Arabidopsis thaliana: one gene and its partner. The protein of the gene in region 2 interacts with the protein of the main gene of each other region in a biochemical or structural test. Each region holds a gene or a part of one and is shown on either strand. Other genes may lie near its edges.

Region 1 (3,928 bases), on a different chromosome or scaffold from region 2:
TGCTTTGCCGACAGCATCTTTCCCAAGAATGAAACCCTTTGCTAACATGCTGCTCACAACATCTTCTGCCTTCTGGACAACAGATTCTGCACCGCTGCTCTGTGTTTCCTGAGAAAATTAACACAAATTAACACCTCTACGAAATTACTGCTCTATTGAGTGTTGAGATGAATACTTTTCACTAATCAAAAAGAAGAAAAACAGTATGAAGAAGACATTACAGCATGAGGGGCTGCTGGTGGACTGTAGTTGGGAGCCAACTCAATGATGACTGATTGATCGGCAATACTCGCTCCCTGAAATAACACCCCTTGTTAGTAATGCAAATTGCAAATGGTCCCAAATATTAGTTGTAAGCAAACTAATTTTACTTATAAATACTCAGAGATACTTTGTCTGGACTAGAGAAGTATAACCATATTAAACGAAGGTTTATAGACATGGATTGATTACTAAATTAACAGTGTTATGTAAGAGTTGAATGCTACTACAATAATATTGAGATAAGAGTGAACCCACAGATAAGAGCACAGCAGTCTCTGCTCCTTGAGTTTCTTTAAATGTGACATAAGCACTATGCTCGTTACTGCTAGTTAGAAAAAGAAAACAAAAACAAAGCTCAGAGTCAGTAAGTTTAAGAGAACTGTATCTAAATTTGCTGAGAAAAAGCTTCGGAAGTTAATTGATCAAAAAAAGCTTTAAATGTCAAAATTTTGAAATCAAAGAACAAGGAAACAATATCACTAACCTTTGGATATCGATGCTTTCAACTTCACCAGAGAAAGAGAAAAACTCTTTAATATCATGCTCAGTTGCTCCTGAAGAGAGATTGCCAACTTTTACTGACCTTACCTGTGACTGTCATCATAAAGAATCAAAAGGGAAAGAATCATTAACGAAAACAATAAACAGGTGTTTCATGAGAATGTTTACAGTACAACTACTTTTTGTATCCAAGCATATCTAATCGACCGAAAGTCCCATTTTAATCAAATCAGCTCAAACTCAAAGAAGCCTAGATTTATCACAAGATTATACAATTATGCAAGTAAAGGGATAATATTATAGTGGCTTAGAAGATGACTGTCATCATCTCACTATACAAAAAGAAAACTCGAATGAACCATGAAGGCTACCAATTAAGGAAACTAATCGACAATGTATGGAGGAATCTAAAAGTAAATTGGCTAGCGAGATTCGGTTCCAAATTGAGAATAACACAATCGCGATTTACTACGATAAACGAAAACCAAAACCGAGAAATCAAGGAGATAATAGAGATAATTGCACGAATACAGATCACACAGAGATACAGAATCAATTAATAACGACAATAATAATCATCAAACTCGTCCAAATAGCATTGGAGATATTATGTCGGCAAGTGCAGCAATCAAACAACAGATCATCCAAATTGAAGAAGAAATCAAATCAATAGCCAAAAATATCAATCCTGAGAAAATTTCCCGATAAACAAATGGATCGCAACAATATCTACCAGCAGAGGAAACCTAAACCTTTTCCGCATAAAACAAAATTATACACAAAAAAAAAGTAGAGCATACCGCCATGGATGTTGATCTTCGAAGTCGCGCAGAGAGAGAGATATGTAATTTGTTGCTTTTGTCACGCAGATTCAGAGATTGGCCTGAAAACCGAAACGTACTTCGAGATCGATGATGCGTAGATAGATAGAGAGGGAAGAGTGTATTTTGCTTTATATGACACCTCACACTCAACGTGTGGGTTTGCGTTACGCCCTTTAATCCTATTTTAGTCCCTAATTGTTTCCAACAATTAATATTTTCACTTTTTTAGTATATATTTCTATTTTTTCCCTCTTCAGTTCAAAACAAAAGTTAGGAGTTTCGTAACACAATTATTAAGTTTATGTTTTATTAGAAAAAAATACATAAAAATTTTACTTTTTATCAACAAAAATATATCATTGTTTTTCTATAAAAAGTGGTTTATGTATCAAAGTGATTACTGTAATTATTAATTCAGTCATAAAATATGATAACTTGGTAATTACAAAAAAGTTGGACTTCTCCTTGTTTTTGGCCCAACTCTTCTCTTTTCCTTTTACTAAACTCCAATGTAGCCCAAAATCATTTAACCAATCCTTATCCTGCAAACCCACTCAATTGGTCCGGTTTACTCGAACCGAGTTTCAATTTTACACGGAAGGGCAGGTGAGGTCAACAACGACACGCAGGATTCTTCCCTCGCAATGGCGTGTCACCGCCAAATAATTTATACGTATTAATAAATTCCCTCCACCACCATATTCACGCGGACCACATGAGATTAAATGATTTATACAAATTATAAAACAAAAATTAACATTAAATTTTGGGAAAACTTATAATTCACCTAACTCATTTCCATCATCTTCGTCTTCGTTTGTTCCCCTGAGATAGAGATAAGAGAATTTCGAGAGATTCGAGAGAAGAGACGATGAGTTTCCAAGATCTCGAAGCTGGTACTCGATCTCCGGCGCCGAATCGTTTTACCGGTGGGAGACAACAGAGACCTTCGTCTCGTGGGGATCCATCTCAGGAGGTCGCCGCCGGGATTTTCAGGATCAGCACGGCTGTCAATTCCTTCTTCCGCCTCGTTAATTCGATCGGAACACCTAAAGATACTCTTGAATTACGAGATAAGCTGTCAGTAGCAATTCTTAATCACACTCTTCTTCTCTTTGTTAAATCTCTGTTGATTAGGGTTTTGGTTTTACTTATTGATTTTGGTCGATTTCATTTCAATTTTTAATTGAAAAAGTTTTCTAATTGTTTTGAAGCTAATCCTGCATTATTTTCCCTTAACCGAAGAACAAATTTGAGTTTGCTGATCGATGTGAGACAACATTGCAAATAATGCCTGACAACATTGCAAATAATGAGCTTTTTGTGTGTGTGTGTGTGTGTGTGTGTATTGAGAAATTGTTTTTTTTTTAGATTGGTTTCATCTATTTGTTCTGTGAATTGTTTTAAAGTGTTAGGTTCTTTTGTTGGCAGGCAAAAGACAAGGTTACAGATATCCGAATTGGTGAAGAATACTTCAGCTAAACTTAAGGAAGCTAGCGAAGCCGACCTTCATGGATCAGCTAGTGTAAGCAAATGCTTACTTTTTTGTTTCATTCCCTTACGATGCTATGGAATGTTAGTGTCTAAGAGAACATTTTCTATTGAACCAGTTTTATTTTGGTTTAATTTTGTCAGAATCGTACCATTTTATTCATTTAGTGGGAGAATTGTTTACATGATTGATGATATGTGTATTCTAGTTTTGATGTTATGTTTGTATTCTTGCAGCAAATTAAGAAGATAGCTGATGCTAAACTGGCAAAAGATTTCCAATCAGTTCTCAAAGAGTTTCAGAAAGCTCAGAGACTTGCAGCTGAAAGAGAAATAACATATACTCCTGTGGTCACAAAAGAAATACCTACCAGGTAACCACTTTGACCAGTTATGTTTCAATACCTGTTAAAAAACAGAAGATCATGGTAAATGAATCTCGTTGTTTCCTAAATGAGAAGAAAAAAAGTCTCCGGATTATATACTCGCATGTTATTATTGTTGTTTTGTACAAAAGAATTTTTGAACGTAGGATTGTTCTGATATTTTGTGGAATGTGAGTTTCACTTACACATGCTTCATTGTCATGCCACACCATGCAGTTATAATGCACCTGAACTGGATACTGAATCTTTAAGGATCTCCCAGCAGCAAGCTCTTCTTCTACAATCAAGAAGGTGAGGAGTGTGATTTGATTATATGCTAGCATGTTATTTTACTAATTCATTTGATCAATTATAAGCATAAACCAAATGTTAGTCTAGCATGCATTTTGCTCTCGAGAGTTCAAATTCAAACCATCGTTACACTTGGCACTCACTGTAGCCTGAATTGTTAATAGAAGCCTT
Region 2 (3,928 bases):
GAGAACATAGGTTATTTTGTCTAAAGAGTAACAATAGTTATGCCTTTTTTTCAGGCTCTTCACCAATCAATACCGAGTTGCTTGGAGAGGAATAGATTATCAAGATACGTGATTAATGGTGCCGATGAATTGACATAGCTTTGCATATGTATCTTAGCCGCCGCCTCTGTAACAACATTCATAAATAAATGAAAAAAACAATATCGTCAGCGAACATAATGAAGAAGAAACTCGATTTATGAAATCTCAAACAGAGATAGTATTGGAAAATTCAAAATCTAATATCCTACTGCCAAATGAACTTAAAACCAATGTGAATCTCAAAGAGTTCTCTCTTATGATACCAGGACTTATACAGGCCAAATATTGCCGTGATATCTACCTAATCCTGTGAAGACCTTGAAACTAATCTGACTACTTAAACTACTAGTTTATCAAACACACCATCCACTTTGAGCATATTAACTAGTTGATGAACTCACCATCCTCTTTGAGCATATTAAGTAGGTGAGCCCTTGTGGGAAGAGCATACATCCCAAGAGAAACAGCTTTCCGTATAGCCCATCCATGGTGGGGAGCAAACACTTGAGCATAAGACTTAGTTGCTGGATCCTTCAAGGAGTTATCTCCTCTGCAAAAGATATCAAACTACATTTCAATCTTCTAATCTTGACCAAAAATAAAAGAAAACTACAACAGGACTCCATTTTTTCATTTACTTCAGTGTCCATATTTAAATCACACATCCTACAAACTGGCACGGCTAATGCATTTGATCAAAATTTTCACAAGAACTCAAATAAGAGAGAGTTCAGAAGAATCACTTACTCGGAAGCTATGATCTGTTCAAAGAGAACTTTGACCATGTCAAGACCACGCTTAACCCTCAAAAGGTTTCTCGTATGACTACCAGCTTTCCTTACACAATCTGCCTCAATATCTTTGTCCATCATTACCACTAATGTCGATATCGAACTCGACGCCCTCACAAGATCATCAACCTATAGTCACATTCACAAGTTTTAACATTTCATTTTCCAAAACATTCATCCTCCAGATAAACAAACACAACATCCATTTCCATCAAATTAGCAAAATTCAGTCTGAGTACTACAGAAACTAAATCAATTCCAACATCTCACAATATACTCAATAGTACATGAAAGTGAACACAACTAGAAAAAGATTCGGACTTTGATTCAAATCTACTACATAAACAAACCTTGGCAACATAGTCCATTTCCGCAAACTTAAAAGCTATTCCAAGGCAACCAAAGAGAGGCGAGACCAGAGAGCAAGCGTGAGAGAATTGCGTTACAGGAACTTCCGGATTCGGTGAATTCACGATGATTGCTAGTTTTTTGAAAGCGGCTGAGATTTTTCTCAGTGGCTTATCTGCTTCCGAATCCGCCATGGAAGATCTCTCTCCTTCTCTCTCTCTGTCGTCTTCTCCTGATTAACAAGTTTTGTTCTTGTGTGATTATTCCGATTGGTGTTCTGTGATTTGCCGCGGAATCTACTTTGCTGCAAGACGACTCAAAAAGGCGGCGATTCGCTGATCACTAATTGTCTTTGTTTGGCGTTCAGATCATTCCTATCCTTCATCTGGATAGTATTATCCTCACCGTGTGAATGAATAACCGAATCCAACCGAAATAACCTGTAGGAATACCGAAATAATAGAATTGAATCCGAACCAAATTCGGTTTTGTGCAATTGAACCGAAGAAACATAAATACGTATGCTTAAACTATAGATAGTAGTTGGGCAATAGACTTGTGTTGAAGCTACTTGAAGAAAAGATGATGATGATGATGAATTATGAATAATGTTCAAGAATTAAGATATGAAGCTTTCATTGGGATACTTTAGTTAAAAAGATTATCATCATCAACAAATGTGATTTTTTTCAAACTTTCATTTATGTTCCACTCTGGCTATACATATTTTTGTTTTTCGATTCTTTTCATTGATTAAAACAAGGTACCAAAATTATAGGTAGGGGATAATAATATTTAGTGGGTTATACTAATAATTATTGGGTAGAAGGAATGGCGGATGCAATTATTTTGATTACTTATAAAAGATAGTGACATTAATTGATTCTTAGGTGGAGCTTATTTTAAAATTAATTGAAGATTTTTATGAGTAATAATTTAGGATAAGTAGAACACAAAAAATTTAAATTTTTTTAAAAAGGAATCTGTTTTCTTGACTTTTTGAGCACATCATTTTATCGTTGGTTAAATAAATAAAAACAATTTCATCAGTTTTCGAAAAACGTCCACTTGCCATTTAACTCTGCCTTTACGGTTTCCGCCAATTTAAAATTCTCTAAATTTTCAAACTTTTCTCTCTCACCATCAAATTCTCTAATTTATTCTCTTTTTATAATGTTCCTCTCTTTTCTTCTGGATAATTACTTTTCATTATAGTCCCTATACTACTATAATTATCCACAACTGTCTCATACTTTTATAACCGTTTTATCATTTTCACCGGGTAAACTTAGAAACAAAATTGAGTTTCCGACATCGCATGATAATTTTAAATGTAAGGTACTTGCATGGAACTTTAAAAAATAAGAGGGTGAAAAACATAAATTAAAGTATAATATAGGGGTGTATATTTTGGGTTAAACATATTACACAACACACTCTTCCGCTACACACTGTTTACACTGTTCCTTACTTTTTTTTCTTTTTCTTTCGCCAACATCTCTCTCTCCAGCTATTTTCCCTCAATTTTTAATCGTCGTTTTCACTTTTGTTCGATTCCATTCAAAAAAGCTTCAATCAGTGAGCTGCGTTTTTTATTCTCTGCTTCATCCAGATCTACATTTCTCTGTTTCAGCCTCTATTGCTCTGTTTAACAAGTTCTCAACGGCCGGAATCGTCGCCGGGATTCTCGCCACCGGAGTTATTGTGAAACGGTGAAAATGGGTTTTTGATTTTACTGGTTACTTCATTGTTCAGTGCAGTAAGTATTTATTTTCCTTGTCCTGTCTTACTATTGGTTTATTTCCTTAAATGAAGAAACTTTATTTTCCCCGAATTTCTTCATTGCTAAAAACTCTCACTTTCTGCAATTTCGTCTGCTTGTTTCACTCACAAGAATTTCACATTTTTTTCAAAAATAAACACTGCTTAATGCGGATTGGTTGTTCACAAAAGGACCAAAAAATCGTAGAAGGTAACCGACAGTGTTAGCTGAAAGAAGCCAGAAACTCTGTTTGTCTGTGTTCTTGAATTTAGACAATCTACTAAAGTCCGTACTTTTTTTATTAGTAAATCCTGTTATGACCGGACCCAATAAAGTAGAGTAATTGTTACATGCGCGTTCCATTCCAAACAATGTGCGTGGGCCACTTGGTCATTTGATTCTGTATTTTTACTTCGGAGAAATTTGGATACAACAAATAAAGTAGAGAGATTGTGTATAATGAATAAAGTTTCCTTTTTTTTGTTAATGATTTGATCATGCGTCTCTTCTGATTTGAGTTTCTTTTGTATCTGCATAAGTTTGGATTGATTTCACTATGGAGGAAGTAGCAGCTAAGGTTGAGGAAGAAACTGTGGAAACCAATGTAGATGCAGTGAAAGAGGACAATGCAACTATAGCTAATGAAAGCAGAAGCCCAGAGAGTGTTTCTGCAGTGTCTGTGGTGTCAAATCGAGCTGCTTCTACTAAAAAGAAACCAGTTATTAGTTCGAATTTAATAAAGCCAACTGCGTCTTCTTCATTACGGGTCTCGGGTACTACGCCTGTGACTATCAGGAGAAATAGTACTGGAGGAGTAACAGAGAATTTAGCTGGTACCTCTAAGGTTCTGCCTAAGCAAGTGAGTACTACTGCCTCACGTACTGATCCGGTAAGACGATCACTTCCAGAATTGAGGAAGAGCTCTGTGTCTTCTCTTTCTGCTAAG

The links.
Region 1: the proteins of ACD11 (region 2) and BPA1 form a complex in vitro, tested with the Arabidopsis thaliana proteins (one study listed by BioGRID).

Annotation. Positions count from the first base shown.
Region 1 is NC_003076.8:5,533,685-5,537,612, reverse strand, and holds the start of BPA1 (binding partner of acd11 1), read right to left. Parts: upstream 1,745-3,928; 5' UTR 1,572-1,744; coding exon 1,566-1,571; exon of another isoform or gene 859-1,565; coding exon 749-858; intron 590-748; coding exon 520-589; intron 297-519; coding exon 222-296; intron 109-221; coding exon 1-108. Other genes in the region: SYP21 (syntaxin of plants 21), read left to right, coding at 2,461-2,669, 3,021-3,114, 3,318-3,454, 3,683-3,757.
Region 2 is NC_003071.7:14,627,911-14,631,838, reverse strand, and holds the start of ACD11 (Glycolipid transfer protein (GLTP) family protein), read right to left. Parts: upstream 1,854-3,928; 5' UTR 1,415-1,853; coding exon 1,223-1,414; intron 1,002-1,222; coding exon 829-1,001; intron 632-828; coding exon 483-631; intron 167-482; coding exon 60-166; 3' UTR 1-59. Other genes in the region: AIR9 (Outer arm dynein light chain 1 protein), read left to right, coding at 3,030-3,192, 3,522-3,928. UniProt on the Arabidopsis thaliana protein: Exhibits selective intermembrane transfer of ceramide-1-phosphate (C1P) and phytoceramide-1-phosphate. Does not transport ceramide (Cer) or GalCer, suggesting a requirement for phosphate in the headgroup for functionality.